3 linked regions of the Ovis aries genome follow. The protein of the gene in region 1 interacts with the protein of each later gene in a biochemical or structural test. Links are inferred from orthologs where the notes say so. Each region holds a gene or a part of one and is shown in the gene's direction. Other genes may lie near its edges.

Evidence for each region.
Region 2: the proteins of SMAD4 (region 1) and SKI form a complex in vitro, tested with the Homo sapiens proteins (3 studies listed by BioGRID and IntAct, with this or other methods). The link is inferred for Ovis aries from reciprocal best matches to the Homo sapiens genes SMAD4 and SKI.
Region 3: the proteins of SMAD4 (region 1) and TFE3 form a complex in vitro, tested with the Homo sapiens proteins (2 studies listed by BioGRID). The link is inferred for Ovis aries from reciprocal best matches to the Homo sapiens genes SMAD4 and TFE3.

Annotation. Positions count from the first base shown.
Region 1 is NC_056076.1:50,866,522-50,870,739, forward strand, and holds the start of SMAD4 (mothers against decapentaplegic homolog 4), read left to right. Parts: upstream 1-1,390; coding exon 1,391-1,639; intron 1,640-2,530; coding exon 2,531-2,705; intron 2,706-3,131; coding exon 3,132-3,161; intron 3,162-4,218. UniProt on the Homo sapiens protein: In muscle physiology, plays a central role in the balance between atrophy and hypertrophy. When recruited by MSTN, promotes atrophy response via phosphorylated SMAD2/4.
Region 2 is NC_056065.1:49,878,249-49,882,566, reverse strand, and holds the start of SKI (ski oncogene), read left to right. Parts: upstream 1-1,511; coding exon 1,512-1,601; intron 1,602-1,871; coding exon 1,872-2,178; intron 2,179-2,295; coding exon 2,296-4,121; intron 4,122-4,318. UniProt on the Homo sapiens protein: May play a role in terminal differentiation of skeletal muscle cells but not in the determination of cells to the myogenic lineage. Functions as a repressor of TGF-beta signaling.
Region 3 is NC_056080.1:56,078,001-56,081,532, forward strand, and holds part of TFE3 (transcription factor E3), read left to right. Parts: coding exon 1-43; intron 44-409; coding exon 410-466; intron 467-636; coding exon 637-712; intron 713-1,691; coding exon 1,692-1,839; intron 1,840-2,529; coding exon 2,530-2,973; 3' UTR 2,974-3,532. UniProt on the Homo sapiens protein: Transcription factor that acts as a master regulator of lysosomal biogenesis and immune response.

The DNA of each region.
Region 1 (4,218 bases):
TGGAAAGATCTCCTGGAGAAGGACATGGTTACTCACTCCAGTATTCTTGCTGGAGAATTCCATGGACAGAGGAGCCTGGCACTTTATATAGTTCATGGAGTTGAAAAGAGACAGGGCTTAGCAACTGATGCAAAGGAAATGCCATACCTATTAGCAATCATTCCTCACCCTCCCCTACCTAAACCTTTGGCAACCACTAATCCACTTTTTTTTTTTTTTTGGTGCTTTGCCTGTTCTGGATGTTTCATATAAACGGGGCTATATAGCAAGTGGCCTTCTGTGACTTTCACTTAGCGTGTTTTCCAGGTTCATCCATGTTGAAGCATGTACCAGTACTTCATTCTTATTGATGACTAGATAATATTACATTGTATATATTGATACATTCATCAGTTGATGGGAATTTGAGTTGTTTTGGCTATTAGGAATGATACTGCTGTGAACATTTATGTACATATTTTTGTGTGGGCATAGGTTTTTGGTAATTTTGGATGGAATTGCTGAGGGTATGATCCCTGGATTATATGGTAACTTTGTGTTTAACATTTTGAGGAATTGTCAGAGTCCTTTTCCAAGGTGGCTGTACCATTTTGCAATCCCATGTGCAGTGTATGAGGGTTCCATTTTCTCACGAATGCTTTTTGTCTGTTGTTTAGATTTATCCACCTGGTGAATGTTAAGTGGTATCTCTTTGTAGTTTTGATTTGCAGTTCAGTAATGATTAATGATTTTGAGTATCTTTCATGTCCTTATTGGCCATTCTTCTTTGGCAAAATGAGTATTAGAATCCTTTGCCCATTTAAAAATTATTCATCTTTTTATTGTTGTCGGTGATCTCTTATAACAAAGATGGCTATTGCTGATGGATAAACAGCATTTGGTGCCAGGTGATGGCGAATTTTTCATGTGTATTAGTGGTTGACTTTTAGCTTTAGTTACTTGTTAATCAAGAATATTTTAAAGTGCTGCTCTTCAGAAGTAATCCATTTTAAAGGTTCTGTTAAGATTTTACTTTAGGGTGGCTAGTACAGTCAACAAGACTTGATTGAACATGCCTCTATAATAATAAGGTCTAACTTTAATATTTTGGGAATGTCAAAAACGGCAACATTTTAATTAAATCATTTAAAACTCTAAGCACCACATTTAATTATGTGCATTGAGTCTTTGACTTAATTGAAGCAATTCCATCTTTTCCAAAGTAATTGAATCTGCTTTATGAAATGTGTTCTGATATCTGTCTCTCTCTGTTTTTTTTAGATTATCCTGAATACTACATGTCTAACAGTTTTTCTTGCAACGTTAACTGTTGTTTTTCGCTGCTTCCAAAAGATCAAAATTGCTCCAGAAATTGGAGACATATTTGATTTAAAAGAAATAACTTTAACAAATGGACAATATGTCTATTACGAATACACCAACAAGTAATGATGCCTGTCTGAGCATTGTACATAGTTTGATGTGCCATAGACAAGGTGGAGAGAGTGAAACATTTGCCAAAAGAGCAATTGAAAGTTTGGTTAAAAAGCTGAAGGAGAAAAAAGATGAATTGGATTCTTTAATAACAGCTATAACTACAAATGGAGCTCACCCTAGCAAGTGTGTTACCATACAGAGAACATTGGACGGAAGGCTTCAGGTTAGTCTTGTTCCAAGGTTTCTTCTGTACTTTGTAATGGCAGGTTTTTACAAATCCTTGTTTCCTCTTAAGTTACTATGGAAATTTCATGCTTGCTCCATCTCTTTAGATACTGTAGTACATCCTATAGTACAGATATTATCAATACAGGATCCTGTACTAATACACTATATGGAAATAAATGGAAGGATGTATCTTCTTTCAATAGAGGTATAGCTTAAAAGTTTTTAAAAATGTTTTGACTAAAAAAAATGTTCAGTATAGAAAATTTGGAAAATAAAAATCAGAAGAAAACCTACGTCTTTAGCCCTTTGGTATTCATCCTTGTAGCCTTTTTTTCTTTTTTGGTATTATATGTACAACTCAGCTTGCTTTCTTTCCTTTTTTTTTTTCTTATAATTTAGAAATTTGGTATTGTATGTCTGGTACTTTTATGTGAAAAACAATCCAGAAGAATTCAACAATATTTCTAAAACTTACGGAGTTAACTTAAATTTACAAGTCTTTACCTTTTGTTTCCAGGGATCAAATTTTTCATGTAGAATTACATAATCTCATGTGTTTGATATTTTTAAAGAAACATATAGAAAACATAATGTTAGGTTTAAAATTTTTTATTTCTAGATTTTAGGTATTGTTTCTTCATTAAACGCATACTTTTTTTGTGTATTTTTAAAACCTGAGCCTAAGCCTTGAAATCATACTTTAAGTTTACTACTTTGTGACCTTGTCCAATTAAGTTATTTTGCACTTTAGTTTTCTCGTTTAAGAAATAGGAATTTTAATACTGACTTTGTAGGATTGCAAGGATTAAATGAGAGTGTATCAAGTGCCTTGTATAATGTGTGATGCATAATTGATGCTCATTAAATGGTTATTTACTTTTCTTAGGTGGCTGGTCGGAAGGGATTTCCTCATGTGATCTATGCCCGTCTCTGGAGGTGGCCTGACCTTCACAAAAATGAACTAAAACATGTTAAATATTGTCAGTATGCATTTGACTTAAAATGTGATAGTGTCTGTGTGAATCCATATCACTATGAACGAGTTGTATCACCTGGAATTGGTAAGCAGGCTTCACTTCTATGCTTAGAAGCATAAAGGGGAAAGATATCAATAGTGTTTTAATTTTTCTAAGTTAGATTGTAAATTTGGAGATAGCCTAGGATTTCAACTAATTTTAAAACTCAGATATTTTTAATGAAATAACGTGTATTTAAATTTGAATTCTGAGAAAGCTTATATTTTGACTACTAAAACTAAGTGTACATACTTGATATTTTTCCTGTGTAGAACACTGTTATTGAAAAATAAGATGGAAAGCACTTTTGCATTGTTAGATAGCATTTATACTACTATTCTTGAATTGAAATGGTTCATGAAAATTTTGAATCTCTGGCTTAAATTTATATTCTGTAATTTTAAATATGGTGGAAATTATTTTCATTATAATGATTAATATTTTATTTTTTTTCCCCTTTAAAAATTTAAGATCTCTCAGGATTAACACTGCAGAGTAATGGTAGGTAATCCCTTTTCTTTTAACTTTCTCTCTTCTTTTATCCCATGCCCTTTATTTTTTATTGACTTAGAACTAGTCTGTATGGGTGGGTGCTGATAACATTTACAAGAAAAGTACTTACTGCTTTGAAAATGTACATTTTGCAGGGGTTGGGGGCATGCATCAGCATTTAAAACTGGATTTAGTAGGCTATTGACTCTTTGAATTTGAACTGCTATTTATGATTGCAAGTAGAATAAAAAATGTGATGGGGAACATAAAACATACACAGAAAGAGTAACTTTTGAATTGGTAAAAACTGGCTATTTTAGAAGTAAATCTCACAGAACCAGTTTCAGTAGTTATAAATAACCTGTTTGATAATTTAGAATCATGTGTAACATAGTTTAAAAACACCCAAATTCTCAGTTTTCTTTATTTCAGCCGAACTTATTTTTATGATTGATAATTTTGTGAATGACTTAAAACTGTATACTATATTAATTTTTTTTCAGTCTTGTTATATTTTGAGTAAATAAAACTAGGCTACTTTAAAGTATATGGTAATCACAGATGTTCTAGGCCTATTTTTAAAAGGAGAAAGTTTTGAGATAGGAAAATGAAACAAACAGGAGTGTGTTTTTTATTTTTCATGTAGTATTTGAGAACAGAGATCTGTTAAAACTTTAGCTCTGTTCCTTGGAACATGTTAATGAGCTAAAATTTCTGTAAGAACTAGTTACTTTGAACAGAAACTGATAAAAAGCCACTGTCACCTTAGAAGGCTTCCCTGATGGCTCAGATGGTAAAGAATCTGCCTGGAATGTGAGACCTGGGTTTGAACCCTGGGTCGGTCAGGAAGATCCTCTGGAGGAGGAAATGGCAAACCACTCCAGTGTTCTTGTCTGGAAAATGCCATGGACAGAGGAGCCTGGTGGGCTACAGTCTGGGGTCGCAAATAGTCAGACACCACTGAGAAACTAAACCAATACTATCACCTTAGAAAGGTGTGCCGTTGTTCTGAAGGGGAATTAGTGGTTCAGCAGCACTTTTGCTACAGAATCCTAGAAATGTGTCA
Region 2 (4,318 bases), on another chromosome or scaffold:
AGCTCTGGGAGTGTTGTCTCCTCCACTTGGTCCCCTCTTAAGACCCCTTCCTGGAGCCCTGCAAAGCCAGAAGGCAGAGGGGAGGGGGCCCCCTGGAGTCAGGCACTGCCCATCCAGGGGCCCTCAGGCTCTTGGCCCTCCTGAGAATGATGGCTTGGCTGAAGGAGCGGGAGGAATCGAGCGTTTGGCTGAAAACCCTCCCTGTCCAGCCTTCCAACCACCTTCTTTCAATTACAAGTCACCTGATTGTATGGGAGTCAAAGCCATGTAGAAGGAACAGACTCAGGTACAACAGAAAATTTTTGGTCCAGATGTTGTTTACTTGCGAAGTCATGTCTGACTCTGCGACCCCATGGACAGCAGCATGCCAGGCTTCCCTGTCCTCCTTCACCATCTCCGAGAGTTTGCTCAAACTCATGTCCATTGAATCGGTGCTGACATCCAACTGTCTCATCCTCTGTTGCTCCCTTCTCCTCCTGCTGTCAATCTTTCCCAGCATCAGGGTCTTTTCCAGTGAGTCAGTTCTTCACATCAGGTGGCCGAAGTATTGGATCTTCAGCTTCAGGTTCAGTCCTTCCAATGAATATTCAGGGTTGATTTCCTTTAGGACTGACTGGTTTGATTTCCTTGCAGTCCAAGGGACACTCAAGAATCTTCTCCAGCACCATGGAGTCTGCGAAAGCAAAGACATCTCTTTTCTTGTTTTGTATGGACCCCTTTCCTAGTTTTCCTGTGTTGGCAGCCATAGGAAAACCTGGTGTTCAGTGGACATGTGGGTAGGAGAGGGTTCACGCTCACGGTAGGGAGCTGTCAGTTCTTCAGATGTAGAGCAATGCACCCTGAACCACAAGGTCCCCCCATGAGATTCTGCAGCCATACAGATGTGGGGTCTCTGCCCATTCTTGCTGCCTCTCTGGACACTTGTCCATGCCTGCAGAGACACCCATTCAGCTCCCCGGGGCAGGAATGCTGGTTTGGGGCCAGTTTCCATCTCCAAAGGGGAGTCAGGAGCAGTAAGGTCCAAGCTGAAGGTCACACAGGCTGAAGTGGGTGGGCCCTCTCACCTCTGCCCAACACTGTGGGCCCCCCATGTGTCCTCCAGTGTCTGGGCCAGCTTGGGTGCCCCGGTCCTTTGGAAGAAAAGTCGCCACTGCCTAGCTGGGCTGGACTGTCCCTCTGCCCTTGAGTTAAGCACAACCAGAACTGTCTTCTAGATCTCAAGTCCCAAGCTCCCAGGACTCTGCTAGACACTGTTTCCTCTGGGGGCCACCCGGTCAGCCTGTCCAACCTCAGGCCCTTGTCTTGTCCCACCCAGCGCTTTCTGGTCTGTCTGTCCTTCGTGATAGAGCCAGGGTGCAGAAGGATGGACAGTGTGATCTCACACTGGCCCTGCCCTGGGTGCCCTGCAGATGTAAAATGGCTCTTTGAGCCTGGGAGCTGTTGGGTAAGGGTAGGGCCAGCGTGCTCGGGGCACGCAGGCAGGAGCCAGGTTCCTGAGAAGCCCCGGCCTCATGGTAACCTGGACGCAAGCCCTGCCCTGGAACTGGCGGTGGGCGCACAAAGTAGCTGTGTGGGGGACCATCGAGCAGGGTCGTGGGGTGGTCGGCCCTGCAGCCAGTCATCCTTTGGGGGTTGCTGTGTTGCGCCTGCATTGCTCGGGGGGACCCCCAGAACAGTCTGCACGGTGCCTGTCTCCCGTGTGGGGTCTCTGGGGTGTTGCCATCCTGTAGTAACCCACGTCGTCTGGCTCGGTGTCCTAGTCCTGCGTGGGACTTGGGTCATATTGCCTCGTCACGTGCGTGGGGACCCGGGGGGCTGGGCCGGGAGGCGTGCGGTAGAGGGTGCGCCGGCCCCATCCGTCCGCCCCTCAGCTGGTTTGCGGTTGTGGTGGGGGGGCCCTGTGTGGGTTTCTGGGCTCCGGCGGCGACACGGCGGCTGGACGGGCGCCTTCGCAGCCGCGCAGGAAACAGCCTCCACCGGATGGGGGGCCCGGGGCGCAGCCACCGCCCCCGCCGAGCGGCCTTCCGGCGAGCGGGCCCGAACGGAGCCGAACGGAGCTGAGTCCCGGACGGGCGGGGCCGAGAGTAGCCGAGCGAAGCCGAGTCGCGGGCGGGCAGGCCCGAGACCAGCCGAGCGGATCCGAGTCCCGGGCCGGAGGGCGGACCCGAATGCGGCCGAGTGAGGCGGAGCGCCGAGCGCGGGCGGGGGGAGCGCGCGTTCCTGGAAGAGCCTGGCCGGGGGGGCGGCGGGCGCATTCCTGGCTGGCGCTCGGCTGAGGCCGACGCGCGGCCCCAGACGACGCTCGGGGCGGGGCGGTGGCGCGGGGCGGGGCGGGACGCGGGGCGGGGCGGCGGCGTGAGCTCAGCGCCGGGCGCTCAGTCCGAGCTGGAGCGAGCCGCCGGGAGGATGTGCGCCGAGCCCCGCGCCGCCGCCGCCGCCGCGGTCTGAGGCCGCCCCACAGGCGCTCCGCCGCCCCGGAAGCCGCGTGCGCGGGCGGGCGGGCGGGTGGGCAGGCCGCGGAGCCGGGCGCGGGCGGCGGGGTGGGTGCGGGCCGGGCCGGGAGGCCGGCGGCGGGCGCAACGCGGCCGGCCAGCGCCGCCGGGACGAGCCGGGCGGGCGCCGCGCGGTGGGAGGAGCGGGGCGGCGGCGGCGCGCCGCGCGAGGACGGCCCGGCGGGCCCCGCGCCCGCGCCCCCGCTCCTCCCGGGCCCCTCGGCCTCGGCCGCCGCGGCGATTCGCGCCTCGCGGCGCCGGCACCTGCCCGCGCGCCCCCCGCGAGCCCCGGGCCCGCGAGCGTTGGCGTTGGCGTTGGCGGCGCGCGCTGGGGCATGCCCCGCGCCTAGGGCCCGGGGGGCGCGCGGGGGGCGCGCGGGGGGCCCGGGCGGCGGCGGGCGCGGCGCGGGGCGCGTGGATGTGGCGCCGGGCCCGGGCGGCGGCGGCGGGCTCCAGCGGCGGGACCCCTTCGCCCCGCCCGCCTTCCCCTTCGGGCCCCCGGGCGAGGCCGAGGCCGCGGCCGTGATCGGCCGGGAGCCGGCGGCGGGGGGCGGCCGGGGCCGGGGCCGGGGGCGCCGCCGGGGCGCGCGGGGCGGCGGCGGGGGCCGCGGGGGCCCGGGCACGCGGGAGCGGGAGCGGCCTGGGGAGCCGGAGCGCACCATGGAGGCGGCGGCGGGCGGCCGCGGCGGCTTCCAACCGCACCCGGGGCTGCAGAAGACGCTGGAGCAGTTCCACCTCAGCTCCATGAGCTCGCTGGGCGGCCCGGCCGCCTTCTCGGCGCGCTGGGCGCAGGAGGCCTACAAGAAGGAGAGCGCCAAGGAGGCGGGCGCGGCCGCGGTGCCGGCGCCGGTGCCCGCGGCCGCCGAACCCCCGCCGGTGCTGCACCTGCCCGCCATCCAGCCGCCGCCGCCCGTGCTACCCGGGCCCTTCTTCATGCCGTCCGACCGCTCCACGGAGCGCTGCGAGACCGTGCTGGAGGGCGAGACCATCTCGTGTTTCGTGGTGGGCGGCGAGAAGCGGCTGTGTCTGCCGCAGATCCTCAACTCCGTGCTGCGCGACTTCTCGCTGCAACAGATCAACTCGGTGTGCGACGAGCTTCACATCTACTGCTCGCGCTGCACGGCCGACCAGCTGGAGATCCTCAAAGTCATGGGCATCCTGCCCTTCTCGGCGCCCTCGTGCGGGCTCATCACCAAGACGGACGCCGAGCGCCTGTGCAACGCGCTGCTGTACGGCGGCGCCTACCCGCCGCCCTGCAAGAAGGAGCTGGCGGCCAGCCTGGCGCTGGGCCTGGAGCTCAGCGAGCGCAGTGTGCGTGTGTACCACGAGTGCTTCGGCAAGTGCAAGGGGCTGCTGGTGCCCGAGCTCTACAGCAGCCCAAGCGCCGCCTGCATCCAGTGCCTCGACTGCCGCCTCATGTACCCGCCGCACAAGTTCGTGGTGCACTCGCACAAGGCTCTGGAAAACCGGACCTGCCACTGGGGCTTCGACTCGGCCAACTGGCGGGCCTACATCCTGCTCAGTCAGGACTACACGGGCAAGGAGGAGCAGGCGCGTCTCGGCCGCTGTCTGGACGACGTCAAGGAGAAGTTTGATTATGGCAACAAGTACAAGCGGCGGGTGCCCCGGGTGAGTGTCCCGTGGCAGCCGTGCCTGGGGAGTGGGAGTGGGACCTGGAGAGGGCGGGGTGCCCTTCTGGGTCGGGGGGCTCAGCCTCCCCCACACGTTTCAGGGCTAGGTTTTGTTTTGTGGAAACTTGGGGGCGTTGTTGGTGTCCGCATAGACTGCTCCGTATCGGAGGAAGGTCCTTTGGTCTGACTCCTAGG
Region 3 (3,532 bases), on another chromosome or scaffold:
TCCTGTCCAGCTGAGCTGCCCAATATCAAACGGGAGATCTCTGGTAAGGAACAGGGTCTTGGCCCTGTGCTATCATCCTTTACCCCAGGGCAAGCCCCATTTCTACCAGGTCTGGAGGTCGGGCCTGGTTCTAGGGGAAGAGGGTTTAAACAGTAATGGGGGCTGTTTGCCACCTTTGGCCGCATGGCCTGTGGTCCTGCTTTCAGTCCACTTCCTCTTCTCTTGGGTTTAACAAATAGCCTGTCACCATGGCTTCTTTAAAAATCGTAAAACGGGTAGCACTTTGTAAGTAGTCACTTCCCCTGCCTGCGCCCACCAAAGCCTACCCCAGTGGCTACGTGTGCTGCCCTCCGTCGTCTGTCACCTTTCCCAGGCCTAGAAGCCCTGACCACTGCCCCATCTCTTCCAGAGACAGAGGCCAAGGCCCTTTTGAAGGAACGGCAGAAGAAAGACAATCACAACCTGAGTGAGTGGGAGCATGTACCCCTGGCTGCGTGCCATGGAGCCCTGCTTCACTCTGCCCAGCCTTCCTTGAGCGGGTGGGGCTCTCCCTGCAGCAGCTTCTCAACTCCCCAGTTTTTCTCCTTCCCTCCTCGGCCTATTGATGACTCCTCTTTCTTTCCCTCACCTTCCAAGTTGAACGTCGCAGGCGATTCAACATTAACGACAGGATCAAGGAGTTGGGCACCCTCATCCCCAAGTCCAGTGACCCGTGAGTCTGGGCCGGGAGCCCCAGGGCCAGTGGAAGGTGGGACAGGGGCCCCACTCCCTGAAAGTCATTGCTGGGTGGGCCCACCCTAAATGGGAACCACCCAGGCAGTCCTACTCATGTGCCTCTTTCTCACCCAGCTTCCCTCACTCTGAGCAGGGTGGCAGCCCCTCACCATGTCCCAATCTAAATTTAGGTGCATGACATTATGGTCCCTGTACCTCATCCAACCCCCGCATGAGTTTTCTGCTTATTTAGTACTTCTTTTATTTACTCAAGAAGTGTATTCAGTTGCTTCTGCTTTGTGCCAGGTACCATGCTAGGCCCTGAGGATACGAGAGGGCACAAAACACACAAAAGTCTCCGACCTCGTGGAACTGATGTTTTAGTGGGGGCAGACAGACAGCAAACAAGATAAATAAGTAAAATCTGGTGGTTATGATGAGTGTGGTGGAGAGGAATGAAGAATGGAAGGAAGAAGGGGGGATGTTGGGGAGGTCACAGTTTAGGGTGAGGAGAGGATAGGGACAGGGTAGGCCTCAACTGATGAGGAAACATTTGAATAAAGAGCCTGAGTAGCTGAGGCTGGAGCCATCTGGGTGTCTAGAAAAAAAGAGAGCTCAAGGTGGAGGGCAGAACTGAGCTGGAGGCCCTGATGTGGAAATGATATTCCATGTTGTAGGAGCATTGAGAAGCCAATGTGGCTGCAGTGAGATAAATCAGAGGGGGGTCAATAAGAGGAGCGGTAAGGGATCAGGTCAGGGAGTCTCCTGGGTTTGGAGTGTGATAGGGCATCATTGGAGGGTTCCAGGCAGGTGGTTTTCATCTGAGCACTCCATACCCATGATGGGCCCACACTTCAAGTTCCAGGCATGTGGCTGGGTGCTCCATCTACCTGGTGCAGTGCCCCCTTCAGCTCCCAAGAGACTCCATTCCCTTCTTTCCCAGCATTCCCTTCTTTCCTCCCCCTTGGGCTCCACAGGGAGATGCGCTGGAACAAGGGCACCATCCTAAAAGCCTCCGTGGATTACATCCGCAAGTTGCAGAAGGAGCAACAGCGCTCCAAAGACCTGGAGAGCCGGCAGCGATCCCTGGAGCAAGCCAACCGCAGCCTGCAGCTCCGAATCCAGGTCTGGAAGGAAGAGGCAGTAGCAGAGGTGGGGGTGAGGGGCTTCCTGAGGCAGAAGCAGAGGGAGAACCAGCCAGGATTTCCCCTCTGGGCATATTTGGGGGATCCCTGGGCTTCCTGGGATCATCATTCCTTATGATGATCATAAGCAGTGATCATAACATTGTGCTAGTGCTGAGTTGCTTCAGTCATGTCCGACTCTGTGACTCCATGGACTGTAGCTCTCCAGGCAAGAATACTGGAGTGGGTTGCCATGCCCTCCTCCAGGGGATCTTCCCCACCCAAGGATTGAACCTGTCTCTTATGTCTCCTGCATTAGCAGGTGGGTTCTTACCACTAGTGCCACCTGGGAAGATCAGTCATAATATTAACAAGAATAATAATGAATACTGGCTAACAGACATGGTGTTTATCTTGTGCCATGAACTGTGACAAGAACCTTCTCTCCATTTACTAAGTTAATACAATAATCCTGTGAGACAGGGACCATTATTACATCCATTTTATGGATTGGGACTCTGAGGCTCAGAGACAGATGGTAAGCAACTTGCCTGACGTTATGCAACTAGTGAGTGGCAGAGGCTGAATTTGAACCTAGGCAGCCTACTCTTTTAACTCTTAAATCCTCTGCCTCTGAAGGACCTCTGAACCCCATCTTGTCCTACCACCCCCCCCCACTTATGTTTTGCAGGAGCTGGAGCTGCAGGCCCAGATTCATGGTCTGCCGGTGCCTCCCACCCCAGGGCTGCTCTCGCTGGCTGCAACTTCAGCCTCTGACAGTCTCAAGCCAGAGCAGCTGGATGTTGAAGAGGAAGGCAGGCCAGGCACAGCAATTTTTCATGCAGCAGGGGGCCTTGCCCAAAGTGCTCCCCATCAGCAGCCCCCACCACCACCCTCGGATGCACTTCTGGACCTGCACTTTCCCAGCGACCACCTGGGAGATCTGGGCGACCCCTTCCACCTGGGGCTGGAGGACATTCTGATGGAGGAGGAGGAGGGGGTGGTGGGGGGACTGTCAGGGGGCACCCTGTCCCCACTGCGGGCTGCCTCTGATCCCCTGCTTTCTTCAGTATCCCCTGCAGTCTCCAAGGCCAGCAGTCGCCGCAGCAGCTTCAGCATGGAAGAGGAGTCCTGATCACGCCTCACCCCTCCCCTGGGACTTCCCCACCCAGGAAGGGAGGACCTGTCAGGATGAGGCCCCACCTTTTCCCCCACCTTTCCATGAGACTGCCCTGTCCAGGTGTACCCCGGGGAAAAGGAGACTTGATGAGGCCCCACCTCTTCCCCACAGGACAGGCCAGTGCAGCTGTTCAGGCATGGAGAAGGTAGGGACATCAGGGCCTGTCTCCTGCAGATCACAGCCTGACCTTATCCCGTGGGACCCGCCCTTGCCCAGGTGAGGGAAAGAGATGGGATGAGGTTGGCCCCTGGCCCCTAGGGACTGTCCTAGCTGGTTTCCTGGGATAAAGAGGTGTCCGGATACTGCTCCATCCCCTCTCTTGGAACCACCAGTCTAGTCCATCCTGGGAAGGAAGAGGAGTCAAAATGATGGCGGTCCCAGCTTAAGTGTTTAAGCCCTGTCCCTTCCCCTGTGAATCCTGCCCTGCCCAGGCAAGGAACAGAAGTGAGGATGAGAGCCAGCCCCTTCACCTGGGAACTCAGTCCTGGCCTTGTAACAATGGAGGACTCAGGCC